Callithrix jacchus: one gene and its partners. The protein of the gene in region 3 interacts with the protein of the main gene of each other region in a pairwise test. Links are inferred from orthologs where the notes say so. Each region holds a gene or a part of one and is shown on either strand. Other genes may lie near its edges.

Evidence for each region.
Region 1: the proteins of XRN2 (region 3) and DISC1 interact in binary tests that used the Homo sapiens proteins (3 or more experiments, as listed by UniProt). The link is inferred for Callithrix jacchus from reciprocal best matches to the Homo sapiens genes XRN2 and DISC1.
Region 2: the proteins of XRN2 (region 3) and TARDBP interact in binary tests that used the Homo sapiens proteins (3 or more experiments, as listed by UniProt). The link is inferred for Callithrix jacchus from reciprocal best matches to the Homo sapiens genes XRN2 and TARDBP.

Annotation. Positions count from the first base shown.
Region 1 is NC_133520.1:52,933,023-52,943,680, forward strand, and holds part of DISC1 (disrupted in schizophrenia 1 protein), read right to left. Parts: intron 4,503-10,658; coding exon 4,226-4,502; exon of another isoform or gene 3,625-4,225; intron 3,074-3,624; coding exon of another isoform or gene 3,026-3,073; exon of another isoform or gene 2,484-3,025; intron 1-2,483. UniProt on the Homo sapiens protein: Involved in the regulation of multiple aspects of embryonic and adult neurogenesis. Required for neural progenitor proliferation in the ventrical/subventrical zone during embryonic brain development and in the adult dentate gyrus of the hippocampus.
Region 2 is NC_133508.1:48,881,923-48,893,175, forward strand, and holds the start of TARDBP (TAR DNA-binding protein 43), read left to right. Parts: upstream 1-5,770; 5' UTR 5,771-5,855; intron 5,856-6,819; 5' UTR 6,820-6,830; coding exon 6,831-7,068; intron 7,069-10,316; coding exon 10,317-10,480; intron 10,481-11,253. UniProt on the Homo sapiens protein: RNA-binding protein that is involved in various steps of RNA biogenesis and processing.
Region 3 is NC_133506.1:28,363,474-28,374,131, forward strand, and holds part of XRN2 (5'-3' exoribonuclease 2), read left to right. Parts: intron 1-1,730; coding exon 1,731-1,849; intron 1,850-4,050; coding exon 4,051-4,186; intron 4,187-5,772; coding exon 5,773-5,880; intron 5,881-5,966; coding exon 5,967-6,056; intron 6,057-6,697; coding exon 6,698-6,770; intron 6,771-10,658. UniProt on the Homo sapiens protein: Possesses 5'->3' exoribonuclease activity. May promote the termination of transcription by RNA polymerase II.

The DNA of each region.
Region 1 (10,658 bases), on a different chromosome or scaffold from region 3:
TTGGCCTCTTTGGTGGGAGCTACTGGCTCAGAAAGGAAGCAGCTGGGATGAGAAGTCTGGGAGGAATGATACTGTCCAGGGAGCACGTCATGTAGAAACAGTAGTAGAAACAGAAAACACCCCACAGGCCGGGTTACAGACAGGAAATAAAAGAATTACGCAGGTATTATTGCCAGAACAGTCAGTACAAAAGAGCCACTTCACTGGCTCACCGATTTCCCTGGCTCCTGTCTGGCCCAAATACAGTTTCTGTAACATTTATGAACCAGGGCCAATGGCAGCTGATCATTTCCAGAGTCCTTGAAAAGGCTTGGAGGACAGCTGTCGTGAAATTGGAAAAGGGCTCTTACAATTTGAGGAAGTTCATGCTAAGATTGGCACTGAGCCCCGTGGCGGACTTCCTCTGTAACAGAGTCCAAAGCAAATTGCTTTGCCTTAATGGGCCCAGCTGTAAAATGGGGGAATGGTGCTCAGCAGCCCAGCGAGGACCGTAGACACGGGGAAGGTGTTAATTAACGACAAAGTCCTTCTGATGACAAAGTGTCACCAGAATGCACATCACCACATTGGCCAGATACTCATGGAAAAGGCTTTGAAAACTCATCTCCCTGTGGACCTCTGTAAGAAGTCAGCAATTTTTCATGAAAGATGTAAGTCAAAAAGAAATTGACTGCCTTCAGGGCATCAAGCTTCAGTAGAGAAACCAGTATAGCATGGTCAGACCCAGCAGGGAGTTCCAAAGCAAAACCAACGCAGAGCTGCAAAGCTAATAGACATTTTAGCCACAGGATAAATGCAAAGTACCCAGACTTCAATGACTCCTTGGAAAAGACAGGCAGGAAAACAAAAACACCTTCCCAGTGAGAGCCTTGCTATCATTTTTTGTACCTTCAGTAGTCTAAAATCCTAGACCCGAATATAAACAGGAAGGTTTTGCTTCATTAAACCTTTCTCTGTCTAGATATCCTCCACTAACTCATTGCTCACATCTGCTTCTTGACAAAAATCAGAGTATATTATACATGTAAAGGAAAATTTCAAAATCTCGAGCTCCCCAAACTCCTTATACAAGAGGGGAAGTTAAGCCTGGAGACCGAGTCATGCAACACCCTCTCCCAAACAAATAGCTGTTCTAGCATTCTGCACACAAGAAGCATTTTAGATGTTTGTGACTGCCAGAAAGAGTGACAGAAACACAAGTTAACACAAATTAGCTCCTACTATGTATGTGTGTCTCATTTTGAGATGCATCCTTTTATTTAAATCTTCAGCACAGCTTCCTGAGACAGTTTTCATTATCCTCTCATCGAGATGGTGGTGTTTTTCTTAACAGATGAGGAGATGCGGCCTGTAAGAGACTTAATTGGGGATCACAGCAAACTCAGACTCCAGCCTTGGGCTCTTTCCAGCAGGCCAAACTGCCTTTTGATAGTCCTGAGACAAAAGCAACTGACTCAAACATCTATAGTCTGGTTTTTAAATGGGTAGACGTCTAAAACATTTTTTAAATCTTTTTTGTAAAGTCATACACAGTAAAATTCACTCTTTTTGGTGTGAAGTTATGAATTTAGACATACGCATAGTCACAAAACCACCACCACAATTGAGAAAGAGAATACTTTTATCATCCTGCCCCCAACTTCCATACACCAAATTCCTTTCTGTTGCTCTTGTAAATGAGTCCCTTCCCCTTTCCTGGAAACAGCGGATCTTTTTTCTGGACCCATAATTTTGAACTTTTCAGAAAACATCATCTTAAAATCCATGACACTCATGACTTCAAAGAATGGCTGCTCTCTCTGTAAATATAAACCCACCACTGCGATACAGGAACAGGGAAATGATACCAAAAGGCAGCAAAAGCTATAAAGACCCCTCTAAAGCACGCACCCACCCCCAAGAAAGCAACAAATAAACTACAGGACATCCTTAGCATTTCAGTTGGTGGAGAGGATCTGGAAGGCTCTCTAGGGACCCCCTGGAACTCCCAAACAGCAGCCATCACAGGACCTAGGATAAGGCTCTTCTCTTTATTCATCTTTGACCCTAAGCTTTCTATTTTTCCACAAATACAGCTCTGTGTTCTTATAGCCAGATAGTGAAATTGACAGGTGCTTACAATCATATGGATGAAAACTAATCCTCCTATGCCTGGGAAAGTCAGTCCCCAGAGAGCCTGGAAGGCTTAGGGCTCAGTTGGTAAAGCAGAGAAGGAGAAAGAGAGGTTGAAAGAGAGTGATGGGGCACAGTGCCCCAAAATATGGCACCTTGGCATTTGAGGAACAGCAGAAGCAGGAAAGTCTCTCTGACCTTCTGCAGCCATTCTCTTCTGAAGCAGGCCATAAATAATTCTCTGACCTTCCTCTAAAGTAGATTATAACACCCTCATCTTTAAAGTGTACACACTATGCCCAAAGGAAAGGAATATCCTTATCTCTGAAGACACAGGGATGCAGTGAAGAATCTGAACAAGCAGGCCTTACTAAGCTTCCCCCAGTTTATTGCCATTTACATCATACACCTTTTGTCCAATAATATTTCTCCACATCTGCCTGCTATTCATCAAATTTAAGCACAAAAATACACTGGTTTCTATTGCTTTGGGTTTTCATTTCTGAAGGCTCCTGTGTCACATACATTTTATATTGAACAAATTTGTATATTTTTCTCTTGTTACTCTGTCTGTATAGGTGCCTCAGCTGTGAACCTTTTGATGGATTTTTTAAAAGATACTTTTTTTCTCCCCTCCAGGAGGAAGGGATCTCTGCTGAATCAGTCCTGGCCTCCAGCAGAATCAATGACCCAGGGACTCCCATCACATACCTGGCTTGGCTTCTCACAGTCCCACACTGAGCTCCTGGTAGCTCACTTTGGAAAGCCAGCCACACCTTCAAAGACTCATTCCCAGAACCTGCAGTTTCTTCCACCCAGCAAGAAATCCTTGCTTAGGTGGCATTCCCTCCACCCCAGAATATTCTTTCAAGCCATCCTCCTGCAGCAGGTGGTAAGTTTTCAACACCTCTCCTCAGAGCATTGGAGGCCAGGCTTTCCTGAAGGTTCCCACCTGCAGTACCTGGGTTAAAAAAAGAGTTCAGATGTCTGTAAGTTAATGTAGTGCCTGTGATTGGGCCAGCAGGGATTCAGAGTGCAATGGTTGCTATCTTATAAGACTATGCCATCCAAATATAGGATTAAGGATCAATTTTCCAAGCAGTCCAGAGGCAGTGACTAAGAACACAAGTGTCTGCTCTGTGAAGGCCATCATCCTGTAGATGAGATGTGAGGCTGCCAGGGCGGGCCTGGGGAGGTGGCAATTTCCCCACCCACCAGTGGTGAGTCTTGGCAAAGACCCAGAAAGGAGGCACAGCCAACACCTAACATCAACCATCAGACTTGAAGGCCATGTGTCATGTTCCTCCAGCCTCTAAATGCTTTTCCCTTTTCACACTTAGAACACCTGGGAACCTGGATTGACAAAGAGCTCTGAAGCCTCAGGTCATGGCACTGAAATCAGGAAAAACTTCCTAGGGGCTTTTTATGGAAAAGACTCTTGTTAGGGTGGGAGGGCAAAAGTAAGGAGAGGAAGGGGAAGGGAGAGGGGAAAGAGGGTAGAAAAAAAGAAAGTTAAATAAAATAATATTTTAATTTGTAATACATAGATCTCAGGCCAAACTTTAGTTGTGCATATGAAAGAAGAACATGATAAGCATTCATTATGATCTGGTTTTGGTAAAAAGAATTAATGGGATATATACATATATTTGAATGTTTCATTCAAATAAATAACAACGTATTGTAATATATAGATTCTAAATATATAATTAAATATCACATATGGCACATGACATATAATTTATAGTATATATATTTAATGTCATTATGGCATATATACTCTATAGTGTATATAACTGTCATATATATGACATATATAATGCTATATATGGTAATTCTATATTAGACTGCATATTCTAATTCTAGCCACTAAATTAGAATGAAAGTGGAACTATATATGCCAAAAGCTGGGTTTTTTTGCTCTTCTGTATTTCAAACTTCTACAAAAATTCTACATTTTTTTGTAATCATATTCAAGAGTTATTGAAACTTTTAAAAGCTTATATAGCTCAATGGGAAGCCCTCCCAATATTAATTGTTTCTATTTGGAGCATGGTCCCAAAGCACCCCTTAGAATAGGGTCCCCTCTGGACACCATGTGGAAAGGACAGACCTCTTTCTGTTCGCCTCCAGCCCAGTGCAGAGAGGGGTTCAGGTGACCCTTCCATTCTTCCAGGGCCTGCAAAGGGGTCTTCCTCTCATCCTCAGAGTGGAGCCTAGGGGGAATGGGAGGAGCCGCTGAACAGACAGCTCCCACTAGGTCATCCATCTGCCCCTCATCTTCTACAGACAGGCTGCCCTTGGCTTCATGGAGTTGTAGCCTCTGGATAAGCAATCGACAAGCTTCCAAGTCAGCTTCCCACACTTTTCCAAGCAGTGGACACTTGCAGCTGAGACAGAGAGGAAACAAAGGCATAAAAATGAACTCAGTGATATTTCATCATACCAAGTCAATAGCTTGTCTATCTGGCTAAATGTCAGCTAGTCATCTTCTAATTCATGACTTAAATTCTCAGTGATGAATTATTTCAACTAGAAGAGTCATCAGAGGGACCAGATTTGTACACCATCAAGTTACCATGAAACGTGCTGGTCCTTGGCTGCTTGGTCTGCAAAGGCATCCAAAATCCTATGTATTTTTCGAAACTCAGCAACCAGTACGACACGGCTTCTGCTCATAACCGTTTTCAGCCCTACTGGCTTGCTTTGACTCCTCAGGCCTGACCAACTCTTCCAAGTTAGATCATTTCTCTCCATCCATTTCCCACCAACACACATATACCCAGGCCTTCATCTGAGTAAATCATGTTATCTTCAGAACTCGGCTTAAATAACCTTTTAGGGGGAAACATTATCTGCCTTCCAACTGGAAAATATGATGGGTCTCTTAGCATTTTTTACTTTTATTTCGGAGTATTTATCACAGTTCCAATTATTTATGTGATTATTGGGTTTTTTTCCCCCTGAGGGTAGGGCTTATAACTACGTTGTTCTCCACTCTATTGCTAGACTGTATTTTATTAGTCTGTTTTCATACTGCTATAAAGAACTACCCAAGACTGTTTTTATAAAGGAAAGAGGTTTAACTGACCCAAAGTTCAGCGTAGCTGGGGAGGCGTTAGGAAACTTATTCATGGCAGAAGGTGAAGGGGAAGCAAGGCACCTTCTTCACATGGTGGCAAGAAAGAGAAGTGCAGAGCAAAAAGAGAAAGAGCCCCTGGTAAAACCATGAGATCTCGTGAGATCTCACTATCCTGAGAACAGCACTGGGAAACTGTCCCCATGACTCAGTTACCTCCACCTGGTCTCCCTTGACATTTGGGGATTATGGGGATCTTGATCCAAGATGAAATACGGTGGGGACACAAAGCCTAACCACATTAGTTCACCACTGGCCCCTCCCAAATCTCATGTCCCTTTCAAATTTCAAAACCAATCATGCCTTTACAACAGTTCCCCAAAGTCTAAATTCATTCCAGCATTAGCCAAAAATTCCAAGTCCAAAGTCTCATTCATCTAGAAACCTTGTAAAATAAGAAAGAGACTTGAGATAAGTCAAGTCTCTTTCATCTAGGAGCCCTGTAAAATAAAAAACAAGTTAGTTAGTTCCAAGATACAATGGGGATACAGACATTGGATAAATGCTCCCATCCCAAATGGGAGAAATTGGCCAAAACAAAGGGGCTACAAGGCCTCATGCAACTCTAAAATCCAGCCAGGCAGTCAAATCCTAAAGCTCTGAAAGCTCCTTTGACTCCATGTCTCACATCCAGGTCATGCTGATGCAAGAGGTGGATTCCTATGTTCTTGGACAGTTCTACCCCTATGGCTTTGCAGGGCATAGTCCCCTTCCCAGCTGCTTTCACAGGCTGGCACTAAGTATCTGCAGCTTTTCCAGGTGCATGGTGCAAGCTATTAGTGGATCTACTATTCTGGGGTTTGGAGGATGGTGGCCCTCTTCTCACAGCTCCACTAGGCAGTGCCCCAGCAGGGACTCTGTGTGGGGGCTCCAACCCCACATTTTCCTTCCACACTGCCCTAGCAGAGGTTCTCCATGAGTGCTCCATCCCTGCAGCAAACTTCTGCCTGGACATCCAGGCATTTCCAGACATCCTCTGAAATCTAGGCACAGGTTCCCAAACCTCAATTCTTGACTTCTGTGTACCCACGGGTCCAACACCACATGTAAGCTGCCAAGGCTTCAGGCTTGCACCCTCTGAAGCAACAGACTGAGCTGTACAATGGCCACTTTAGCCATGGCTGGGACACAGGCACCAAATCCTGAGGATGCATAAAGCAGCAAGGCCCTGGGCCCAGCCCAAGAAACTGTTTTTTCCTCATAGGTCTCCAGGCCTGTGGTGGGATGGGCTGCCATGAAGACCTCTGACAGGCCCTGGAAACATTTTCCCCATTGTCTTGGGGATTAACATTTGGCTGCTTGTTACTTATGTAAATTTCTGCAGCAAGCTTTAATTTCACCTCAGAAAATGGAATTTTTTCTATTGCATCATCAGGCTGCAAATTTTCTTAAATGTTATGCCCTGCTTCCCTTTTTAACATAAGTTCCAATTGCAAATCATCTCTTTGTGAATGCATAAAAATAAATTCTTTTAAGAGGACCCAAGTCATTTCTTGAATGCTTTGCTGCTTAGGCCTTTCTTCGACTAGATACCCTAAATCAGTCTCTCAAGTTCAAAGTTCTGTAGATCTCTAGGGCTGGGGCAAAAGGCTGCCCATCTCTTTACTAAAGCAAAACAAGAGTCACCTTTATTCAAATTTCTAACAAGTTCCTCATCTCTGACACCACCTCAGCCCGGACTTCATTGTCCATATCACTATCAGCATTTTGATTAAAGCCATTCAACAAGTCTCTAGGAAATTCCAAACTTTCTCACATCTTCCTGTCTTCTTCTGAGCCCTCCAAACCGTTCCAACCTCTGCCTACTACCCAGTTCCAAATCTCTTTCACATTTTTTGGTATCTTTATACCATCTTCAACATGGATCATGAATTTAAATACATACGATGCCCAGCATACAATGTAAATGTGCAAAGCAGGGAAGGGATGATACAAAGCATAACAACTAATATTCAGCTTCAGTGGTAGAAGACAATAGAAAGGAGTGACCCTGGCTAGTTAGGAAGACATATCCCTGTATATGGAGCACATATCATCAACCCATCAGCTCAGGCACACTGAAACTGTAAGAAATGTAAATTCAATGTTGACAAAAATTTTGATTTTTTTGGAAAGCCAAAAATTAGGAATTGCCAATGAAAATATATATTTTCATCCATCCAGACAGCTTCATGCTAGATATTTTCTATAGACTTAACTTCCATTTAATAATCATTCCTCCTACTGTCTCTACTCTGCTATTCAATCCACTGTTGTATTCTAAATTTCAGTTACTTTTAATTTGATTTTCTTTTATGTATTCCAGTTCTCCATCAACATTCTCCAACATGTTTCCTATTTTTTTTAGACATATGGATTCTCCCAAAGCCAACATCCATAAATGAGATCAGAAGGAAAAACAAGGAATTAGGCAGAAGTAATATTAGAAGAGATTATCAGCAAAGAATATCATGTATTGACAATGAACATCAAACCACACATTTCGGAAGTACTACAACTCAAAATAGGAAAAGATCAAAGAAAACACACACCTAGGCCCATCATAATGAAACTTCTAAACACCAAAGACAGAATGAAACTCTTAAAAGCAGTGAGAGAAAAGAAAGGCACATTAACTTCAAGGGAAGAAAAGTATGGGTGACAGAAACAGTGAATGGTAGAAGACAATCAAACATCTTTAAAATGCTGAAAGAAATTAACTGCCAATCTAGAATTATGCAACCATTCTGAACTTTCTTCAAAAATCCAAGTAAAATAGGCTAGGCGTGGTGATTGACAATGGGAGAGGCATAATGGGACTTCTCATGTACAAGAAGCAATTTATTTCTTGATGGTGATGGTTTCATGAATTCATTTAGTGAAAATTCATCAAGTTGTACATTTGTGATGTATGTATTTTATGTCTATGCCAATCTAAAATAACAAAAAGAGAAAAAATATAATAAGAAAAGGATGAAGGAAGGAAAGGAAGAAAATAAAAAGGGAAGGAAGGGAGGGAAGGAGAGTGAGAGAGGGAACAGATTTTCTGAGATGCACTGGAGCAGAAGTACAGGAATGGGGTCTGATGCACATTGGAAACAGCAGTCCTTATTTGGGGGCACTTTGGTATTTTCATTTTCCTAATTTTAGCCAATCTAATAGGTAAAAGGTGGGATCTTGTCTGAAGTTGCGTTTCTCCACTAGGATCATTTCATAGCCACTCAGACTTTCTTCTGTGCATTATCTTTCATATTCATTGCCTGTTTATTCCTTTCTTGGGTTCCCTATCCTTTTCCCAAGGGTTTTGTTGGAGGAGCCATTTTATTACCACTTCAATATCTTTAACCTTTACACTCTATTCAATTTTTCCATTTATTCTTCCATCCATTTAAATATTTTATATAACCTTTATATAAATTAATCTATTTTCTTTTCTTTCTTTTTTTTTTTTAAGACAGAGTCTTGCTCTGTCACCAGGCTGGAGTGCAGTGGCACGATCTCAGCTCACTGCAACTTTTGCTTCCGGGATTCAAGCAATTTTCATGCCTCAGCCTCCCGAGTAGCTGGGATTACAGGCACACATCACCACATCCAGCTTGTTTGTTTGTTTTTTCAGTAGAGATGAGGTTTCACCATGTTGGCCAGGACGATCTCAATCTCCTGACCTCATGGGTGATCCACCCACCTCAGCTTCCCAAAGGGCTGGAATTACAGGTGTGAGCCACCAGACACCGTCTAAATTAATCCACTTTCTTGAATTCCCGACCTCAGGTGATCTGCCCATTTTGGTGGCCTCCAAAGTGCCTGGATTACAGGCGTGAGCCTCCACGCCCATCCAATTAATCCACTTTCTAATGAATTTCCAATGTATTGTTACATGTTTGTTCATAATTTTAAAAACGATTTTAAAAGTTACTTGTTTATAGATCTCCTTTTAGGCATATGTTTTACTTATTCTTTTTCTGATTTATCTTATTTAGTCTTATCAAAGGTTTGCTATCTTATTAACCTCTTCAAAGAACAAATTTTTGCTTTGTTAATCTTCACATTGATTTTTGTGCACTATTTTATTGATTTGTTCCTATCTTTATATTTCCATTTTCCCCATCATTTGGATTATCTTAATTTTTATTAGCTTCTGATAAACACTTAACTCACTTGTTTTCTTTTTCTTATTTTCCTCTCTTGATATTTTAATGTTATAATAAATATATTTAAAGCTCTTAATTTTTGTCTGAATAATACTTTAACCATGTTCAATATATGTTTATTTAAATTTTTAATTATTAAATATTTTAAATATACAGAAAAATACCAAAAATAATTTAACAAACATCTATGGGCCTATCATAAAACCATCAGTTCATAATATTTTTCTGTAATTGCTTTATATTTATTTTTAGAATTTACAGCATTATTGTCCAGCAGATTTTACAGACAGCTTTTTCGTGTCTTTCTTAATGTTTTCCTTGTTAATTCAAGGGCTGTATAGTGGTATGCTTTTCAGTTTCTAAACAGAAGAATTTTTTCTCACCTCCCTTTTTGTTAGATTAATATCTAATTTTATTGCATACTGGTTCAGAATTAACTGTGTAAAATTAACTGAGGCTTCTTCTATCACCTAGTACTTCATTGATTGTTGTAAATTTTCCATATGTGTCCACAAATGAGCATTGTGTTCACTGAGTGTAAAGCGAAGGTATATTATGTCATTAAAATTTTTATTTTTTTTGTTGTGTGCTTCATCTGTGAGTTTCAGAAATGAGTGTTTTAAATTTCCAACTATAATTCTTGACTCTTCCATTTCATCCCACAGTTTTATTGGTTGTTTTATGAGTCTCAGACTATGATTTTAGATACCTAGGGGTTCCAATCATTAAATTTTCTAACTGCTTCTTTTCTATAGATGACAATTTTCATTGTTTATATGATATTTTAGCCTTAAAGTCTATTTTCTCTGATATTAACATGGTTATTCCAACACTCTTTTAGTTCCATTTTACCCAGCTTATCTTTTTACTATTCTATGTTTTCAGTCTATTTGCATATTTTAAAAATGACACCTACACAAAACATTTGCTGAATTGTATGAAACCCATTCTAAGATTTTGTCTTTGAATTGCTGGTCTTAACCCATGTAGTCTCAATAATTGTAATTACTGTGAAATTACTGGTGTTTTCTCATTGATTTTAGCCTAGTTTTTCAATTTTAAAAATTCACTACTTTTTTCTATCTTTTTTCTTTTTATTAAATTCACATACAATTGCAAGAAAAAATATAGAGAGATCTCATGTACCTATACCCAATTCTTAATAATAACAACACTTTGCAAAACAATAGTACAATATCATACCAGAGTACTGACATTGATGAAATCCACTGATCATTGTCAGAGTTCCCATTGTGTGTGTGTGTTCATAGTTTTAT
Region 2 (11,253 bases), on a different chromosome or scaffold from region 3:
TTAGTTCGGCGTGGTGGTGTGTGCCTGTAGTCCCAGCTGCTTGGGAGGCCGAGGTGGAAGAATCACTTGAACCTGGGAGGTGGAGGTTGCAGTGAGCTGAGATCCTGCCTCTGTACTCCAGTTTGGTGACAGAGTGAGATTCCATCTCAAAAAAAAATAAAAATAAAGAAACTAAGTTAGACCTAGACTAGTTGGGAAGGTAGCTTCTAATTTTGGCAGGAGCTAAAAATATGGAGATGAGGGGAAATTAAATCTTGATAAAATAATTTTTTTATTTTTGGAGACAGTTCTTGTTCATGGCTCACTGCAACCATCTCTGCCCCCTGGGGTCAAGTCATCCTCCCACAACAGCCTCTCCAGTAACTGTAACCACAGGTGTACATGACTATGTCTGGCTAAATTTTGCATTTTTTTGTAGAGATGGTGTTTCACCATGTTGTCTAGGCTGGTCTCAAACTCCAGGGCTCAAGTGATCCATCTGCCTCAGCCTCCCAAAGTGCTGGGATTACAGGTGTGAGCTACTGTGCCTGGCCTAAAATTACTTTTTTTTTTTTTTTTGAGACGGAGTTTCACTCTTGGTGCCCAGGCTGGAGTGCAATGGCGAGATCTTGGCTCACTGCAACCTCCGCCTCGCAGGTTTAAGTGATTCTCCTGCCTCAGCCTCCTGAGTAGCTGGGATTACAGGCATGCACCACCATGACTGGGTTAATTTTAGTAGTGACGAGGTTTCTCCATGTTGGTCAGGCTGGTCTCAAACTTCTGACCTCAGATGATCCGCTCACCTCAGCCTCCCAAAATGCTGGGATTACAGGTGTGAGTCACCTCGCCTGGCCCTAAAGTTATTTTTATTTAAATATCTTTATTGGCTGGGGGGTGGTGTGTGCCTGTAATCCTAGCATTTGGGGAGGCCAAGATGGGAGGATTACTTGAGGCAAGGAGTTTATAACCAGCCTAGGCAACATAACCAGACCATATCTTTACAAAAAATTTTAATTAGCCAGATGTGGTGGTGCACACCTACATAAATAAATAAATAAATAAAATTATTGCCCTGCTATTTCTTTCAGTTTTCAGAAATGTTGTGGAGCTGCCTCCTGTTCGTCTCATGGGGCTGATGAGCTGAGGGAATTTGAGGGAGGTGCTGGAAGAGGAGAAGGCAAGTCCCCAAGTAACCTCGTTGAAAACGGGGGGCTGGGCCGGGCACAGTGACTCACCCCTGCAGGAGGCTGAGGCAGGAGGATCGCTTGAGGTCAGGTGTTCAAGACCAGCCTGGCCAACATGGTAAAACTTCATCTCTGCTAAAAATACAGAAATTAGCCAGGCATGCCTACCTGTAGTTCCAGCTACTTAGGAGGCTGAGGCAGGAAAATAGCTTGAACCCAGGAGGCAGAGGTTGCAGTGAGCCGAGATTGTGCCACTGCACTCCAGCCTGGGCGACAGAGCAAGACTCTGTCTTGAAACAAATAAAATGCTGCGGTTCAAATGACTTTTGACAATCAGTGCTGTAAAGCTGAATCCCAGAGCTAACTGAGACAGGAGCAGGAGGATCTGTGGTCCAGCCTCCCTCTGGCCTTCAAATTCTCTTCCTGATTGAGTTACTGACCTTCCTTAAGACAGTGTTTGCTTGTCCTCCCAACTCACCTGAAAATTTTTCTTTTTCTTTTTTTTTTTTTTTTTTTTTGAGATGGAGTTTCGCTCTTGTTACCCAGGCTGGAGTGCAATGGCGCGATCTCGGCTCACTGCAACCTCCGCCTCCTGGGTTCAGACAATTCTCCTGCCTCAGCCTCCCGAGTAGCTGGGATTACAGGCACGCGCCACCATGCCCAGCTAATTTTTTTGTATTTTTAGTAGAGACGGGGTTTCACCATGTTGACCAGGATGGTCTCGATATCTTGACCTCGTGATCCACCCGCCTCGGCCTCCCAAAGTGCTGGGATTACAGGCTTGAGCCACCGCGCCTGGACGCCTGAAAATTTCTTGGGAGAAGGGCCAGCCTTTGGGGTTGTGTTCCTGTGTGACCTGTCCCTAGGAGCTTCTGCACACCCAGCTCTGCCCACCTGCAGCCAGCACCCAGGACTCCACAGCACTACCCGCACTAAATGCCTCAGTCTCAAGCTTGTTGCAGGGAATGGCCAGGGCAGTGGACATAGTGCAGAAGTTTAGGGTCTGACCAACCTGGGACAGCAATTTATGGGCTAGTGACATCCTTCAGCAGCTGTATAAACTCAGGCCTGCCATATGGTCTATGAGCCTCAAATTTTTCTTCTGTAAAATGGGAATGATAAAACCAACTTCACTGGACACGGTGGTTTATGCCTGTAATCCCAGCACTCTGGGAGACTGAGGCAGGTGGATCACTTAAGCTCAGGAGTTGGAGGCCAGCCTAGGCAACATGTCAAGACTCTGTCTCTATTAAAAATAACAAAAAGTAACCAGGTGGCATGCACCTGTAATCCCAGCTACTTGGGAGGCTGAGGTGAGAGGATCACTTGAGCCTGGGAGGTAGAGGCTGCAGTGAGCCATAATGGCACCACTGCACACCAGCCTGGGTGACAGAGGGAAACCCTGTCTCAAAAAAAACCAAACCAAAAAAACCAAAAACCCTGGCTCACGCCTGTAATCCAAGCACTTTGGAGGCCAAGGTGGGCAGATCACCTGAGGTCAGCAGTTCAAGACCAGCCTGGCCATCATGGCAAAACCCTGTCTTTTAAAAAGAAACTAATTCTAAAATTTAAAAAAAAGTAAAAAAAAACGAACAACAGCAACAACAACAAAATGACTTCTCCCCCACTGTGGCTGGGTGTATTAATTGAGATGAATCAGATCTCTGTGGCTTGTCCTGTGTTTCACAATGTTAGTGACCATCAGGGTCCATCTGTCGAGCCTCATTCCATGTGCAGGGCCATTTCTGGGGGTGAGTAAAGGTCACTAATTATATCTGCCTTCAATCCTTCCTCCCTTATCCCTTCAAATCAGTTCAGACATAATCTGCTTAATATGAACAGCAGGCATCAGAGATGGACTTGCAGGATTTACTATTTATTCCCTGGAAAGTCATAAAAAGCATCAACCAGATGGCCTGGGTTCAAATTCCGGTTCCACCACTTATTGGTCATGAGAGCTTGGGCAGCGCTACTTAATCTCCATGACTCACAATGGCACCTACCTGACAGGGTTGTTAAGAGGATAAAATGAGTTAATACATAAATATAAAGTACATGGCCAGGTGTGGTGGCTCACACCTATAATCTCAGCAGTTTGGAGGGCTGAGGTAGGCGGATCACTTGAGCCCAGGAGTTCAAGACCAGCCCGGGCAACATGGAGAGACCCTGTCTCTACCAAAAATGCAAAAAAATTAGCTGAGTGTGGTGGTGTGCACCTGTGGTCCCAGCTACTCGGGAGGCTAAGACGAGAAGATCGCTTGAGTCCAGGAGTTGGAGTGAGCCGAGGTCACCACACTGCACTCTATCCTGGGTGACTCTATCCTGGGTGAGACCCTATCTTAAATAAATAAACAAATAAATAAATACTTTGTGTAAACATTTCTTACTGTATGTCATTAAATTATTAATGTATATACAAAGAAACATAGTTACCAATTAAACTATGACACAATATCATCAACTGGAACTGGAACTGAAATCACATACTGATTCCAGAAATGTGAAACAAAGGCTGGGTGTGGTGGCACTTTGGGAGGCCGGTGTATCACCTGAGGTCAGGAGTTCAAGACCAGCCTGGGCAAAGGGGTTAAAATACAAAAATTAGCCAGGCATGGTGGTGCATGCTTGTAGTCCCAGCTACTCAGGAGGCTGAGGCAGGAGAATCGGTTGAACCCGGGAGGTGGAGGTTGCAGTGAGCTGAGACTGTGCCACTGCACTCCAGCTTGGGCAACAGAGTGAGACTCGGTCAAGAAAGAAAGAAAAAAGAAAGAAAGAAAGAAAGAAAGAAAGAAAGAAAGAAAGAAAGAAAGAAAGAAAGAAAGAAAGAAAGAAAGAAAGAAAGAAAGAAAGAAAGAAAGAAAGAAAGAAAGAAAGAAAGAAAGAAAGAAAGAAGAAGGAAGGAAAGAAGGAAAGAAGGAAAGAAGGAAAGAAAGAAAGAAAGAAAGTAAAAAGAAAGGTGGCTCGTGTCTGTAATCTCAGCACTTTGGGAAGCCGAGGTGGGGCAGATCACTTGAGGCCAGGAGTTCGAGATCAGCCTGGCCAACATATTTTTAGTCTCTACTAAAAATACAAAAATTAGGCTCGGCACAGTGGTTCATGCCTGTAATCCCAGCACTTTGGGAGGCCAAGGTGGGCAAATCACAAGGTCAGGAGTTTGAGACCATCCTGGCCAACATGGTGAAACACTGTGTCTACCAAAAATACAAAAATTAGCTGGACGTATCTCAGCTACTTGGGAGGCTGAGGCTGGAGAATCACAGGAACCCAGGAGGCAAAGTTTGCAGTGAGCCGAGATAACAAAGCGCTACTTTGTGTCACGTATCTTCTGAGTACTCACATACTTAACAGCTGCACTGCAGCCCAGACAACAGAGTCTCAAAACGAACAAACAAAACAAAGCCAGGCATGGTGTCTTTGCATTCCTATAATCCCAGCTATCCTTCCAACCTGGGAGGTGGAGGTTGCAGTGAGCTGCAGATCGCTCTAGTGAGACTCCATCTCAATCAATCAATCAAGTGTGCCTTAAAATAGATGAAATACTGTATTATTATATTATTATTAGAGGGCTGGAGCCAGAACATGTTAGCATTTTGTGCCTCGAGATTCAAACCGTAGGTCTACCATTTACTCCTTAGGTGACTTTTGTTTTGTTTTGTTTTAAGAGATGAGATTTTACCATATTGGCCAGGAGGTCTTGATCTCTTGACCTTGTGATCCGCCCGCCTCGGCCTACCAAAATGCTGGGATTACAGGCAGCAGCCACTGAGCCTGGCCAACTTTTTTTTTGGCGGGGGGACAGGGTCTCACTCTTTTGCCCAGATCGGAGTCAAGTGGGGCGATATTGGCTCACCGCAACCTCTGCCTACCTGGTTCAAGCAATTCTCCTGTCTCAGCTTCCCGAGTAGCTGGGATTACAGGCGCACGCTACTATCACCCTATCCTTGGGTGACTTTAAGCAAGATACTTGATCGCTCTGTGCCTCAGTTTCCTCACTCGCAGAATGAATATCAATAGTTCCTGCCGCACAAAACTGTTGGGGCTATTAAGTATGTGAGTACTCAGAAGATACGTGACACAAAGTAGCGCTTTGATTGCTATTATTAGAACAAAGTTATTGTTTCCAGGTTTGGAGGTGGGCTAGCGGAGGGAGGAGAGGACGCAACCGGCAGCCTTTCAGAAAAGGAGTCCGGGTCTTACCCTGCTTCCCAAGTCTATTTGGCCCGGGATCCCGAGCCCCGCCCCCTCCAGGCCCCGCCCCACCCTTTTTGGCCGAGCCCCTGCGCTACTCTCGCGCGCTTTGAAAGTGCGCGAGCTCCGAACGAGACCCGGGCTGGCGGTTGGTCGGCCGAAACCATCTGCTACGTTATGTGGGGGGAGGTCAGCGCCTACACAGCCACATTTTTTTTCGATTTTCAGCTTTTCAGGCCTAGTTCCTGGTCTTATTTTAGCTCTCGAGCTTCTCTGTAGGCTCGAATTTCGAGAAGGCAGCCCGAGTCCCTGGGAAGAGGGTCATCGTGGCTCTCCTCGGCGCCCTCCCCCTCTTGACAAGCGCTCGGTGGGAGAGGACGCCGGCGGGCAGAGGGAGGAGGCGGCTCTAGCGCCATTTTGTGGGAGCGAAGCGGTCGCTGGGCTGCGCTTTGGTTCGTCGCTGCCTCGCTGTCCCTGTCGGGCTTCCCAGCAGCGGCCTAGCGGGTGAGTCGCGGAGCCTTCTCAATGAGGACGCCCTGGGTGTCTCGGCTCCCGCATTGGGGCAGCCCGAGGCGGACGCAGCGGCTTCGGCCCCTGCCCAGGGAAATGAGCCGTGAGGCCGGGCCTCGTCCTGCCCGAGCGGACTCGCTCGGGAGCGTCGTTAGGTCCTGCCGCAGGAAGGCCGCAGGCGCCGAAAGCGGGACCCTGCCCGCGCTGCCGCGCAGCCTGAGGCGAAGGTTTGCCTGGTCCTGAATAGTGCCGGCGCCTTCGGTACTTTGCAGTCCGGGGACGCTGCCAGCTCGGGCCTTGGTGCTCCTGCGCCCCACCCCGGGCCGCGCTAAGAAACTCCTCCCAAGGCTGGCACGCGCGGGTTTCTGGGAGGCGAAGGCCGGCACCGCCAGGATCTGTCGCCGCCGGCCTTGCGGCTCGGGCTTGTAGAGCCCCCGGAAAGCCCCAAAATGAGGAATGGAGAGGACTCTTCTGCTGTTTTTTACACCTGGTTCACTGCTTATATTCAGTCTTCAGGTTCAGCTGATGCATCACTTAATTGGGAAAATCGACCTTAACCCATCATGCCCATGCCTCAGCCTGTTAGGCTCCTCTCCTGACTTCAGGATTACATAACGACTTCCGCGACTGTCATAAAATAGCTACTGTTATTCTCCTGCATACCCCAGCTTGTAACCAGCAAACCACGTTGTACTCAGCAGTTACAGTTGCAATACCTGACATATCATAAGCCCTCAGGGAAAGTTTGTTGATTGAATGAACTGGCGAGGCATCAGATTTTGATAGGAAATCACTACCCTTACCTTCCCCTCGTCATTTTTCAGGGATACTAGTGCATATACGAATCCAGAGAAGAATTTTTCTGGAAGTTAGAACACTAACGTGGTGTAGGTATTAGCATTAGAAGGAAACCATTACTCTGGCGTGAATGTTCATTCATTTCTCTTTTCCTTTTAAGAAAAGTAAAAGATGTCTGAATATATTCGGGTAACCGAAGATGAGAACGATGAACCCATTGAAATACCATCGGAAGATGATGGGACCGTGCTGCTGTCCACGGTTACAGCCCAGTTTCCAGGGGCCTGTGGGCTTCGCTACAGGAATCCAGTGTCTCAATGTATGAGAGGTGTCCGGCTGGTGGAAGGAATTCTGCATGCCCCCGATGCTGGCTGGGGAAATCTGGTGTATGTTGTCAACTATCCCAAAGGTTTGTTACCATTTGGTTTTGTAATCGTGCTGAAGCGTAGTCAGGTGTGTGTCTCATCCATGGGTCATGGCCTCTTTGTGGCGGCAGGTCTCCTGTAACTTAAGTATTTTCTTGAACTTCACAATTAGATAAGTTTGGAAAACCATGAGTCTAAATTTGTGGAAACTGGGGATCATATATCATTTTAAAAGAGAGAACGATGTATTTAAAAAATATTTTAATAAGCTTTGCCCAGTTTCTGCCACGTAAGGAGTTACTAAGAATGCTTGGGACTTGTATCAGTGTTGTAAGTAGATTCTTCTACAGTGCTCCAGTATTTGGGTTTGTTCATTGTCCTTTTGGTCTTAACATCATTCATTCAGGAAATCTGACTTCATTTTTTTCCTTAAATAAACAGCAGTTGCAGTAGCCAAATCTTGAATTAGTGCAGTTCCAATTACAATTTTGAGTTTGTTCATTGTCCTTTTGGTCTTAACATCATTCATTCAGGAAACCTGACTTCATTTTTTTCCTTAAATAAACAGCAGTTGCAGTAGCCAAATCTTGAATTAGTGCAGTTCCAATTACAATTTTGAGGTTCTAGTCTTACCCTTTTTGCTTCATTTTATCACTGATGTTCTAAATCTGAGAAAAGAAAGCATGATATTTTAAAAATGTGCCAAGGAAATAGCTAATTTCAGCAGTATGAATGTGTGCTATTAGTTGATCTGTGTTGCTTTTATTATAACTTGATATTGCAACAAAGTCCATCAAATTTGGTCAGTATGCAAGATGTTAATTTACATGTCTAGAAAAATTTTAGGGCCTGGTGCAGTAGCTCACACCTGTAATCCCAGCACTTTGGGAGGCTGAAGTGGGTGTATCAGCCAAGGTAAGAAGTTTGAGACCAGCCTGGCCAACATGGTGAAACCTGGTCTCTATTAAAAACACAAAAAATTAGCCAGGCTTGGTGGTGGGTGCCTGTAATCCCAGCTACTCCAGAGGCTGAGGCAGGAGAATCGCTTGAACCTGGGAGGCCGAGGTTGAAGTGAGCCGAGATTGCACCATTGTACTCCAGCCTGGGCAACAAGAGTGAAACTCCATTGCGAAACAAAAGAAAAAAAAAACAAATTAGCCAGGCACCTATAGTCCCAGCTACTCTGGAGGCTGAGGCAGGAGAATTGCTTGAACCTGGAAGGTGGAGGTTAGTGACCTGAGATCATGCCATTGCACTCCATCCTGGGTAACAGAGCAAGACTCTGTCTCAAAAAAAACACAAAGAAAAAAGAAAAATTTTAATAATGTTAACTCAGGGTTTTTAGTATGCTGTTTCTTGAGCAATTGGGTATAGAAATACTTACCCAAATTTAAAATGTCAGGCTGGGTGCACTGCCTCCCAGCACTTTGGGAGGCTGAGGCAGGCAGATCATCTGAGGTCAGAAGTTCAAGACCAGCCTGACCAACATGGTAAAACCCCGTCTCTATTAAAAATACAAAAATTAGCCATGTGTGGTAGTTCACACCTATAGTCTCAGTTACTTGGGAGGCTTAGGCAAAAGAATTGCTTGAACCCAGAAGGTGGAGGTTACAGTGAGCTCTTGCCACTGCTCTCCAGCCTGGGCAGCAGAGCGAGACTCCATCTCAAAAGAAAAAAAAATGTCATTTAATATCTCTCCCCAGGCTGGGCATGGTGGCTCATGCCTGTAATCCCAGCCCTTTGGGAGACTGAGGTGGATGGATCAGCTGAGGTCAGGAGTTAAGAGATCAGCCCGGCCAACATGGCAAAAACCCATCTCTACTAAAAATACAAAAATTAGCTGGGTATGCTGGCAGGCACCTGTAATCCCAGCTACTTGGGAGGCTGAGGCAGGAGAATTGCATGAACCTGGGAGGTGGAGGTTACAGTGAGTGGAGATTATGCCACTGTACTCCAGCCTGGGTGACAGAATGAGACTTCATCTCAAAAAAAAATTCTCTCCTCTTGTAAATAACCTAAGGTTAAGGTTATGTTTTATGTTTTTTAAGTAAGCCAAACTTTTGGTTTCTTTCTCTTTTTTTAAATTAGAAATGGGGGCTCTTGCTGTGTTGCCCAGGCTGGAGTGCAGTGGCTATTCATAGGTTTACTGCAGCCTCAAACTCCTGACCTCAAATTGTCCTTCCTCCTCAGCCTTGCAAGTTGCTGGAACTACAGGCATACACATCACTGTTCCTGGTTTTCTTTTTTATTAGAAAAGTAATGTGTATTCATTGTTGAGAGTTTAGGAAAGATAAAAGTTAGGCCTGGCGCGGTGGCTCATGCCTGTAATCCCAGCACTTTGGGAGGCTGAGGCGGGTGGATCACGAGGTCAAGAGATTGAGACCATCCTGGTCAACATGGTGAAACCCCGTCTCTACTAAAAATACAAAAAATGAGCTGGGCATGGTGGCATGTGCCTGTAATCCCAGCTACTCAGGAGGCTGAGGCAGGAGAATTGCCTGAACCCAGGTGGCGGAGGTTGCAGTGAGCCGAGATCGCGCCATTGCCCTCCAGCCTGGGTAACGAGCAAAACTCCGTCTCAAAAAAAAAAAAAAGAAAGAAAGAAAGATTAAAGTTAAATCTACTTCAGGAGATACAAGTTGCTGATTTTTTGTTATATAGCCCTTAAATTATGTAATAGGCATTCAGATAATTAGGGAAATTTAAAGTCAAAGTAAAATAGAGTTATTTTTGTTTTGATAAACCTTTTGAGAGGGAGAGATTGTAATCTGGAAATACTACAAAAAACAAAATTGGAAATCACTGAATTTGCACCAGAAAAGCACCTGAGACACTAAATGCAAGCCTTTATTCTGTCCTCTAGAGCAAACATCACTCCTTGCCAAGTTTTTGGTGTCTTAACAGTTCTTAGTCTTTTTTTTTTTTTTTTTTGAGACGGAGTCTTGCTCTGTGGCCCAGGCTGGAGTGCAATGGCACAATCTCAGCTCACTGCAACCTCCGCCTCCCAGGTTCAAATAATTCTCCTGCCTCCTAAGTAGCTGGGATTACTGGTGCAGGCTGGCTCATTTTTTGTTAGTAGAGATGGAGTTTCACTGTTGCCCAGGCTGGTTGCAAACTCCTGAGCTCAGACCATCTGCCTGCCGCAGCCTTCCAAAGTGCTAGGATTACAGGCATGAGCCACCACGCCCAGTCTTAAGAGTCTTTTTGCTTCTCATTTCTAGACGTAGGAGGTAGTGTTTTTAAAGAAGCGCTAAGTGAAAATTTCTAAAAGGTTTCTGCTCATTTTATTTAGATAACAAAAGAAAAATGGATGAGACAGATGCTTCATCAGCAGTGAAAGTGAAAAGAGCAGTCCAGAAAACATCCGATTTAATAGTGTTGGGTCTCCCATGGAAAACAACTGAACAGGACCTGAAAGACTATTTTAGTACCTTTGGAGAAGTTCTTATGGTGCAGGTAAACTTGGATTGCATCAAACATTTTTTTTTTTTTTTTTTTTTTTTAACCAGTGAATGAGCACCTAGCATTTATTTATTAATATAAATAAATAACAGATGGGGGTCTCACTCTGTTACCCAGGCTGGTGTCAAACTCCTGGGCTCAAACTGTCCTCCTGCCTTGACCCCAATATGCTGGGATTACAGGCATGAGCCACCATTGCCCAGCTGCATTCTTGTTAGGTTTGTTTTTGTTGTTGTTGTTGTTTTGTGTTTTGTTTTTTGTCGGTTTTTTTTTTTTTTTTTTTTTTGGTTTTTTGAGACGGAGTCTCACTTTGCTGCCCACGTTGGAGTGCAGTGGTGCAATCTTGGCCCGCTGCAGCCTTCACCTCCTGGGTTCAAGCGATTCTCCTGTCTCAGCCTCCGATATCTGGGATTACTGGCGCATACCATCATGCCTGGCTAATTTTGTATTTTTAACAGAGACAGGGTTTCACCTTGTTGGCCAGGCTGGTCTTGAACTCCTGACCTCAGGCAGTCCATCTGCCTTGATCTCCCAAATTGCTGGGATTACAGTTGTAAGCTACTGCGCCTGGTCGCATTCTTGTTATTTTAATGGCACTGTCCATGTTCCATAGATGATACTTCCAATATTTGTTATATTTATACATATATTTTGTACCCAATATTATTGCCTTTGATAATAAAGTAAAATGCACGAAGGCTTAAGGAAAGTAGATGATAATAGCATTTTTCTTTGTATTTTACACTAATGGGAGATTTTTCTGCTTT
Region 3 (10,658 bases):
ATTTGAATGAATTTCTGTGAATCTTGTATGTTCAGAAAATATTTTTGTTGGTAGAGGCAGAGCAGTGGAGATTTGACATTAAATGGTGAACAGCTTCTTTTTCTAGAAAGTATATTATTATTTTTGTTTGCTAAAGATAGAGTTTATTTCTTGTTAGTCAAGAATTAATTTTGTATAAGTTTGCTTTTTACACAACTTCTCTGTATATAGACAATTAATGGGAATGTTGCTGTCATAATTTAATCCAAATGGATTAGTGTTCGGTGGAAAACAATAGTTTACTTACTGAATGGTTAACCACTGTGCACCAGGGAGACAGCGTGCCAGTAATCTTTCACCTGTATTGGTGCATTTAATCCTTGCAATAACGTGTAAGGAAACAGAACAGTGTCATCCCCATATTAAGATGAGGCTCACAAAGGTTAAGTAATAAATTGTTAGAGGCCACACACCCAGTAAAGGTTGAATTTGGAATTTTAGACTTAGATCTGTCTAACTAAAAATACCTACCTTGTTTTCCAAGTACAACAGTGCCTTCCTGTATTTATTTTTATTGGTTTTTTTTGACAGTATTATCCGTACCTTTTCATGAATAACATTGACATTATATGTTTTTAAAAGAGAAATGCTCCAAGCTCTATATGATATATAATTTTGTATTTTAACTTTTCTTGACCTGTGGGATGAACTGCGTTTATGCTGTGGATACTGTAATTGTTATATCATTGAAATGGCCTTCTGTGCTCTCAGTTTTAAAACAATTCAGTTACTTGAAATATCTAATAATACTGTGAGTAACAGAAGAAAAAGTTTGCTGTGGAAATGCTTCTGCCACTTAGTTTTTGATGATTTGGTCCGCTAGCCTAAGTAACTAAAGTTGCAGAAGATTTTCTTTTAATTCTTAATTAAATATTAAAATATGTTAGGGTTATATTAAAATAAGTTAATTAAAATTAACCTATTAATGTTAATTGAGTTAGGTACAAAGGGAAGATAATACTGAATTTAAAGTGATAGCTGAGTCTTCGAAATACCAATAAAATCTGCATTTTTCTAAGATGACTAATAGATTTTTATTTTTAGATTGATTTTTAAAACAGAACATATAAAATAATTTAACACAGTCTCATTAAACTTGCTTTTCACAGTGGTTGTAACTAGGTTGAACACTTAGCATTTAACTGCATTCTCACAGCATTGACTATTTTATGTATTATGACGTCTATATTGTTACATATTATGTGCTATTTAGGTAATACATTTTATATACAATATAGAACTATACATATATAAAAAATATAGGTTATATGTATATATTTTTTCCCTCATAGCCTTGCCATTTGGTAGGTGGAAAATGATTGTGAATTCCTAACAGGAATTGTCACTATTGATTGTCACAAATCATTGTGAACCATCAAAGGAAAATAGAATTCAAGTAGTATAATTTAAAAATATCTATAGAATGAAAACTTTTTTCTTCAGAAACATTTTTTTTTTGGCCCTAATAATGGTAATTGTTTTCAGTTAAGGCACAGGAAGTTTGGGTATTACATTACTTCTTTTGAGGGAAAGTGGAATGGAGCAAGATCAGTCTCTGTACTTTCTAAATATGTTTATCATATCTACATAGTAACTTTAAAAGTGTTAATGTAAAACACTGTTAAGTAGTGGTGGCTGGATATACCTTCTTATGTAAAATGAATAATGAAATCCTTCATCTGTAATTGCAGAGTCCTTCAGTATCTCCTAATACGAGTTTCACATCTGATGGCTCCCCATCTCCAATAGGAGGAATTAAGCGAAAAGCAGAAGACAGTGACAGTGAACCTGAGCCAGAGGATAACGTCAGGTGAAGCCATTTTTTGGTAGCACTTTGTTAGCAAATTGCTGAAATAGATGCAGTCTAATTAATGCTATTTAGCTTAGAGCAGCAGTGCCTTCAGATGCTTGCCTGTGATCTTTTTATCCACCAGTAATTAATGTGGAGGGTTAGAAAAGTCAGTAAATTCCAGAGAGATGGGTAAGCTATAGCTGTTAAACCTAAGTGTCTAGATTAGTATGCGTGCAGGCTTTCGTCCTCCAATCCACTTTCCCCTCTGAGACCAGGCACAAGATCGGCTAGACATGAGGTGTTAGCTCTGACTATGTGATCTGAATGTGGCTGTTTGGAGACTGAGTAAAGTTTCGAGCTGCTTAACCTAGAAAGTTCGGTCAGTACTTAGACACTTAATATAGTTTGCTTTAATCTTCTCAATTGAAAAAGTTCTTCCTCAAAATGAAATATGCAGAAATCATTCTGTTAAGAGATCAATATGTATGTTTTTTAAAAACCACAAACTTGCATATGCACAATTATATTTCATGACAGAGGAGTTTCCCTTTAAGTAGATACTTCAAATTTATAATAGGAAGCTGGTTCTTTAATTCATCCTGAAGTTTGAGATCATTATATAATAAGATTAACAACCTCTCATGTAATTAAATCCAGATTTGAACCGTGGGCTCCAAGTGCAAAAGGCCAACAATCTCAATAATTGTAGCTCATTAAGAATTTAGGAAAACGATCTATTTCAAAGGTAAACAAGACAGTAGTCACCTACAGCTCATGCTTCTTTTACAGGACATGGAAAGTGTGTGATTTGTGTTTATGATTAAACTTTGCAAGGGTCATGTGTGGTTCTGCATTTTTCTAACATCCTTTGATATCAGATCCATGTCTACTTGTGCTCGAACATTTCCTCTGTATATCTTTAGTTTCTGTCCTCTACTTTCTGTACTTTGGATTTTCCCCTTAGAGCATGTCTTTGGTTTTGTTTACTATGTAGCCATCATGATCAATACTAGTTTAGTAGGTAACTTGATTTGTTTAGTATTTTATTGTTTAATCCTGGTGCTGAGGGTAATCAGAGTGGAAATGCCTCTACCAAAAAATGCTTGGGGCTTTTAGCATTTTTTCATTTATATTTTCTGTAAAATAGTGATAATCCATTTTATGGATAAGGGGATATTTCTAATTGTTCTCTGAATCCTTTGTATTGTGGGAGGGATATATTACAATTGATAATGGTATATTCTGAAACATGACTGCAATTAATATATGAAATCTGATACTTAGAAAAGATGCCTAAATGAAGATTCAAGAGAATCATCTTGATGTTCTTGATCTGTTCCGATGTTTTAAAAAGTGTTCTTTGGCTTCTTCATGTTCCTTAAATCAAATGTTAAATCTTAAGAATAAGAAATGAATTCTTAAAAAAACACAATATATTGGGTGAAAATGTAGTTGGTCACATTGTATTTTCAGTGATGAATGATAATTTAGTGGATTCTTTGACCTGCTTCTAGATTTTACTGTAACATACATATGTTTGTGTGTGTATATGTATACATAGATATATAGAGATATAGAATGTGTGTGTCTCTCTATATATATCTCTATCTCCTTTCCTTAAGCCATCAACAGCTCTTAGCTGAAAGAGGGATAAGGCCCAAGCAAGGATAGAGAGAGTAGGTATACACATAATTTCTGCCTAATGTCTAGATTATTCTTTTATGAACTATTTTTTATATTTAAAAAAGTTACCTGTGCAGTCTTAAGTAATTTAGTTGACTTTCTTTGTATAGTTTAAATATATTTTAATAAACTAAGGAACTTGAACTATATAAAATATCTTCAATATTTGAATCTTAAAATGTAGCTTTAAAATTGTACAAAGAAACATGTAAAGCAATATTAAAATTTGAGCAAATGTGTTCTGTATCTTTTTCAATAACATTTTTTAAAATGTGGTTTTATAGTGGTCTTAGCAGAATCAGTGATTGGGGTGTTAGTGTTTAATTGTCTTTAAGTTGATAATAAATCCTATGAAATTAGACTTTTTAGAAATAATGAAAAAGAAATAATGAAATGAATCTGTGTTAGCATGACTGTTTTCCTTTTTCATATTTCCCCTGGATGTTAAATATAAATTGAATTGGGGTGTAAATTGGTAGACAGCCTGTTACTGAAGGTGTGTTAATTCAGCATAAATGAGCTGTGCCTGGTTTTAGGTTATGGGAAGCTGGCTGGAAGCAGCGGTACTATAAGAACAAATTTGATGTGGATGCAGCTGATGAGAAATTCCGTCGGAAAGTTGTGCAGTCTTACGTTGAAGGACTTTGCTGGGTTCTTAGATATTATTACCAGGTACAAAAAGAATATTTTCCTCTGAATTTGTAGTCAATATTTTAAGAAAGATACTAATTTCTTTTTTTTTTTTTGAGATGGAGTCTTGCTCTGTCGCCCAGGCTGGAGTGCTGGGGCACAGTCTCAGCTCACTGCAACCTCTGTGCCTCTGCCTCCCAGATTTAAGCATCTCATGCCTTACCTAGCCTTCTGAGTAGCTGGGATTACAGGTGCATGCCACCACACATGGCTACTTTTTGTATTTTTAGGAAAGATGGGGCTTCACCATGTTGGTGAGGCTGGTCTCAAACTCCTGACCTTGTGATCCGCCCGCCTTGGCTTCCCAAAGTGCTGGGATTACAGGCGTGAGCCACCATGGCTGGCCTAGTAATTTCTATAGTAATAGATATTATTGAGCTGTATTCCGAAAACAAACCCAGGCTCATTTTTTAAAGTTTTCTATTCAGAGGTTCATAATTGTAAATGTTTGTGGAGACTTTGAAGCTTCTTAGTTATTAATATATAAACAAAGCTAATTTTTGTTAAAATTATTTCAACATCAAGTAATGTGGTTGACTGTACTTTGTCTTTAAGATGATCAGAGTTCAGTGCTTTTTAAATTGGAGTTTAAAAATAACTGAGTAATGAATTGACAGTCACTAAATGACTGAAAAAAGGAAAAGCCTGAAAAATACCAGTAAGAATTCTAAAGGAATTTGAATGCTACCATCTTTATAATATAGTGATGATACATGAAGTGCATTCTAACTGGAATAACCTGTATTCTCCCTTTTGATGATTGAGATGTCAGATTGGTGAGCGATTAGGTAGACATACTGAGGACTGTTAACACTGATAGTTAGTATCTGTTTTGTACTTAGAGAGCAAACCAGATTAACTTTGGTATGACCTGGGAATAGACGAAGTTTGTTGACAAGTAGAAAGTAGCACAGTGCACTGAGTATTGACTGTTAAGTACTCTGTTAGCATGTTTTACTCTTACTATCAAGATTTAAATTCACTAGACACTGTCAAAACACATCTTAGATCTCTCTTTTCTATGAGTATAACTTGTTTTATTTTCTTTTTGGTGTGTTTACTCACGTGTTTTTATAGGCAAAAGAAAGTTGTCATGTGAAAATACAATGGTGAATTGTAAAATGAAACTCGTGGCTGTTTTACTGTCAGACACTTTTCCAATAATGTCTCTAACCACCTTACATGCTCAGTAAATGTCAGCTACAACTGCTCTTGGTTTTATTTGATGATGATAGCTCTAGAGATGGAAAGAAATGTCACTATGTATTTTAAAGATAAAAATCTTCACCAAATTCTGTTTGCGAATATAAAGTTTGACATTAACTACTGATTTTTCAGAGATGCTTTGCAGTATTTTTAAAGTCAAAGAGCCATTGATATGAATTAGAAACTTCAAACTTAAACAGGTTTTAGGAGTCATGGAAAAGATAGTATTTGGAATATATACCAGAAGTTGTGTGTTTTGTAAATAGAATATTATAGGTTAACAGTCTAATTTTTGCTTTTTTTAATTGTCTCCATCATTAACATAGGTTTTCCTTTTTGTTGTAACTTTTTAATGATTCTAGGGCTGTGCTTCCTGGAAGTGGTATTATCCATTTCATTATGCACCATTTGCTTCAGACTTTGAAGGCATTGCTGACATGCCATCTGATTTTGAGAAGGGTACAAAACCGGTAAGCTTAATTATTTAAAGTCATAAAATTTACAGAATTTTGGATTAGATCATAATCTTGGGTATTTAACTTTTTTATTTTTGCAGTTTAAACCTCTGGAACAACTTATGGGGGTTTTTCCAGCTGCAAGTGGTAATTTTCTACCTCCATCATGGCGGAAGCTTATGAGTGATCCCGTGAGTCTCTGTATTTTGAGTATGTGGGTAACAGGATTTTCATCATACATTTTATTAATATTGAAACAGTGAAGTACAGAAACAAAGTATTTTGAGTTTTTTGTATTTTTTTTACTCCACATACACATATTTTTCTTACTTTCTTTGGCCCTGCACAGTAGATAAAATCAGTTTGTTTTTGGGAGAAGTTTTTATAACAGTCATTTTGTTCTCTGGCTACCTGTAAGTCTTTAACTTTATTTATTCCAGCCGTATATTGTAGCCACCAAAGATAGGGAGACTGCCTTACACCAAGTCACCTATGAACTTGTTTTATATGCTAGCTGGAAAGAGTGAGCCCCAGCAAGGAAATAGGAAGTGTTAGAGTATGTAAAACCTTTACTGTCTGCCTGCCTGTGGCCCATAGTTGTCAGTTCTAAAATTCTTCTACAATAATGCTTTTCCGTTGCATCTTTTAGAATAAATTGTTCATTTTGTTTTACTATATTTGTGATTAATGACCTAATGTCTCTTAACATTTTTTAAAAGGAATGCACTTTATTTTCTCATCAGGTCTTATAACTTGAATGAATCCTATCAAATTCTTTATAACAGAGATGTGTGACTTCTGTTTTGATTCTTTACTTTTCTCCCCGATACAGGATTCTAGTATAATTGACTTCTATCCTGAAGATTTTGCTATTGATTTGAATGGGAAGAAATATGCATGGCAAGGTAAAATTTAGATGTTCTTTTCTGGTAAAACTGTAAACACAGTTTTTGAAATGAAATAATTCTGTAAAAGATAAATATTTTAGCCTGGGCATCATAGTGAAATCTCATCTCTACAAAAAAATACAAAAATTAGTGTGGTGTGGTGGCTCACACCTGTAGTCCCCTCTACTTTGGGAGGCTGAGATGGGAGGATCACTTGAGTCTGGGAGGTCTAGGCTGCAGTGAGCTTTGACTATGCCACTGCACTATAGCCTGGGGGACAGAATGAGGCACTGTCTCATAAATAAATATTTAAAAAGGTAAATATTATAAGAATTGTATGTGAAATGTTAATATTTCTCCATCAACTTGGGATTAGCAATGATTAGTAGTAAATTTAATTATAACATTGTTATATGTAAAATTTCAGTGCTGCCAAAGAAATAACACTCGAATATAAATTGTCTCAACAAGGTAATTTACATCTATAGAAGGGTGCCTCTCACAGATAGAGCAATGGTGAGCACACACTTGAACAGGGGAGGGGAAGAGGTTTTTATCCCTGATGCAGCCCCTGCTGCTGTGTCATTCCCCTGTTGGTTAGGGGTAGACCGCACAATCTAAGCTAATTCTGACTGGCTATTTTTTTTTTATTTTTTGAGATGGGGTTTCGCTCTTGTTACCCAGGCTGGAGTACAATGGCACGGTCTCAGCTCACCACAACCTCCGCCTCCTGGGATCAGGCAATTCTCCTGCTTCAGCCTCCTGAGTAGCTGGGATTACAGGCTCGCGCCACCATGCCCAGCTAATTTTTTGTATTTTTAGTTAAGACGGGGTTTCACCATGTTGACCTCGTGATCCACCTCCCAAAGTGCTGGGATTACAGGCATGAGCCACTGTGCCCGGCCAGGCATGACTAGCTATTTTTAAGAGAGCAGGGATATGAGCCAGAGTCGCGGGGTAAGTGGTTTGGTGGGAAAATCGGTTATGGTACAGGTATTTAAAGGTGTCTCAAGGTTAGATCAGTTGACCATGGGTGACTCAGGTCAAAGCAGGTGCCTGGAATGAGTCAGGACGGAGCACGGGACCAGGGGAACAGATGTGAACTACTGATTAGAACTGGTGGAAAAGGCTGATTACTGAAAGTACAAGGAAGTTAAACTTAAAAATGGAGGACAAAGGACTGAACATACTGACATACTGATTCTTTGAAGAGAAATTCAGAACTCATTTCATCCAACAATTCCCTCCTCTTGAATTTTCTTCACAGCTTTCTCTTCAAACTTCCTTAGCATGTCTTGGCTTGGTTGTTCTGCTTGATTTTCTAAAAGAAGAAGCTTCTCTGAATAAGGTAGAGGGATAGTTAAGGGAGGTTTTAGTAAGTGTGGCTTCTTTGAGTCTCTGCACTAACCCATGGATGCATGGTATGATACAACACCCGACATGAATGAGTACACCCACTACGGCTGTAAGAGAAGTAAGAATTGAGGCTGTCGTTCCTATCCATTTACCAAACCATTTTCCTAGGCACCCTGTGTAGGGGTCATTTACCCTAAATTGTTGGCTAACTCATTGGACAGAGCCATTAGACCTTGCAATGCCTTTGTTATACTTCCATCGGGGGCAGTATTGTTTGGAATGAAGGTACAACAGTGAGTTTTAATCATGATGCAAACTCCTCCTGTCTCTGCTAGTATCATGTCTAAGGCTATTCTGTTTCCAAGCCGTCGGGCTGCTGGCTCCTAATTGCTCAACTATTCCTTTAACAGCACCTCCAGTGTAGTTAATAAACTGCTCTTGGTTGTAACAAATGTAATTTATCCAATCTACATTTTTATTAACTGTCACCCACCAAAATACGGGCTCAAATCCTGCAGCTGTTTAATCATGGGCTTTAAATTTATCTGCTACTCCTGTGGGACTCCAATTGCATCTAAATAGACATGAGTCAAAAGACCCATAAGGGGTTTCTTTTGCTTTATGATGTTGTATTTTTTCTTCCTCTGGTTGATGAAATGCCAGGGTGAAAGGGATAGCCAGTTGGATTAGAGCACAAGTGCCACTCCAGTTACTTGGCAGAGTGTCTAGTAAAAGTCAACCCCAGTACCACTACACATCTGCTTGGGGATGACCAAGGGCTGACTGATTGGTAAGCTCTCGAAAATTCTTCAGCTCACTGCATCCCTTTGGGTCTCCATGGAATGCTAAGTTTCCTCCTTGTTGTGAGAGACACCAAGTGAACTTAGTGTAGGGAGATGGAAGCTGCATGGCCGTCAGGGGCTGACCCTCAGGGTGTCGAACTTCGGGCTATGGCAGAGAGTTTGTTCTGACCTGCTACCCTAGGCTGTGGAATCCTGGAAAAGAGCTACCGTGCAGCGCATGCCTGGTCAATTAGAAGACCATCCTAATGGAAAGGGGACAATCTGGGCCTCTGGCCTGTCATGCACACAAGCATAACAATTGCTTTTGTTTAACGTGCAGATGGAATATTTGATCCATTTCAACCAGACATTTGCATTTTGCTATCCTGTCTCAACTGACAAATTTTTGTTTTAAGTCTTTAACTTCTACAGTAACTACCTTGGTCTTGTCATTAGATGGAGGAGAAACAATTGTTTTGTTGTGAGAGGTTTTGGAAGCAGGCTTAGAGGTTAGGGTAGGCAATGGAGGGTCAGTGAAACATATTTCAGAGGTTCTGATAGGGTCTTTTTTTGAAACCTCAGCCCCCATACCATAAAACCAACTTAAAGAAGGGAACTGGCTTGGATAAGAAGGGGGAGAACTTTGAGGGTTTGAAATGATAACCTGTATAGGATTACAATGATTTAGCTGACAGGGGAAGCTGTTCCTTTAGTAAAATGAATGTATGGTTTTAGGAAATTACAACTACTGATTGGGGCAGTCGCTCCTTGCTCTTTAGTGGTCCACAGAACGTTGGACCAACTATGGCAAAAAAGCTCTATATAGGGGTCAGAGGCAAGACTCCCGGTTGATAATGGGGTTGTCATCGAAATCTTCCCAGACTGAATGGTCCCAGTTCACTAATGTCCAGTCTGAGGAGAGTCAGAAATGACAGAGGTCCTTTTCTGAGGTGGAGAGCTTTCTTTGACTTGACAAGTGTCCGTAGGATATAACAAGGCAAGCATCAAATGTAATAGCTTGAGGCAAAGTTGACTTGGTTACATTAATGTCTGGATGGTCAGCAATAGAGCAAGGAGAGAAGAAAGAGTAATAGAATAGATGAAAGAGCTAAATTTTTCTTAGCTTTAGTTTGGTAAGGTTTTCTCCTGGGACTATGGCCCATGTTTCCAGAGGGGGCGGTGCTTTCTTGCCTCGGGTGTGATGGGTCCATCTTCTCTCCGCCATCTGGAATGAGGTTTCAGTAATTAGGAACACTAAGTAAGGTCCTTCCCAGGCTGGCTCGAGCTTCTCTTCTTTCCAGCTTTTGATGAGGACCTGATCCCCAGGCTGATGTTGATTCACCAAGAACTTCAGGGGCAGTGCCTGTGCTAAGAGTCCTTTAGTTTTAAGAGAAGAGAAAGTAGAAGATAGATCAAGTATATCATTTGTAAGGAATTGATCTTTAGTTTCAAAGGTAGGAATGTCAGCAGTGGAGTGTAAATAAGGCAATCCATAGAGCATCTCATAAAGAGAAAGACCAGTATTTTTCCACAAGGCAGTTCAGATTCTCAGCAGGACAATAGGAAGGTACTTTGTCAATCAACTGAATCTCTAAGACTAATTTGGTTAAGTGGTTCATTAAAGTTTGACTCATTCTTTCTACTCTTCCTGATGAGGGTGGGTGCCAGGGAGTATGGTATTTCCATCTAATGTCTAATGTTTGGGTTAGCTTTTTAATGCTGTGTGTGGTGAAATGAGTTCCATTGTCTGAGTCAGTATTTTCTATTA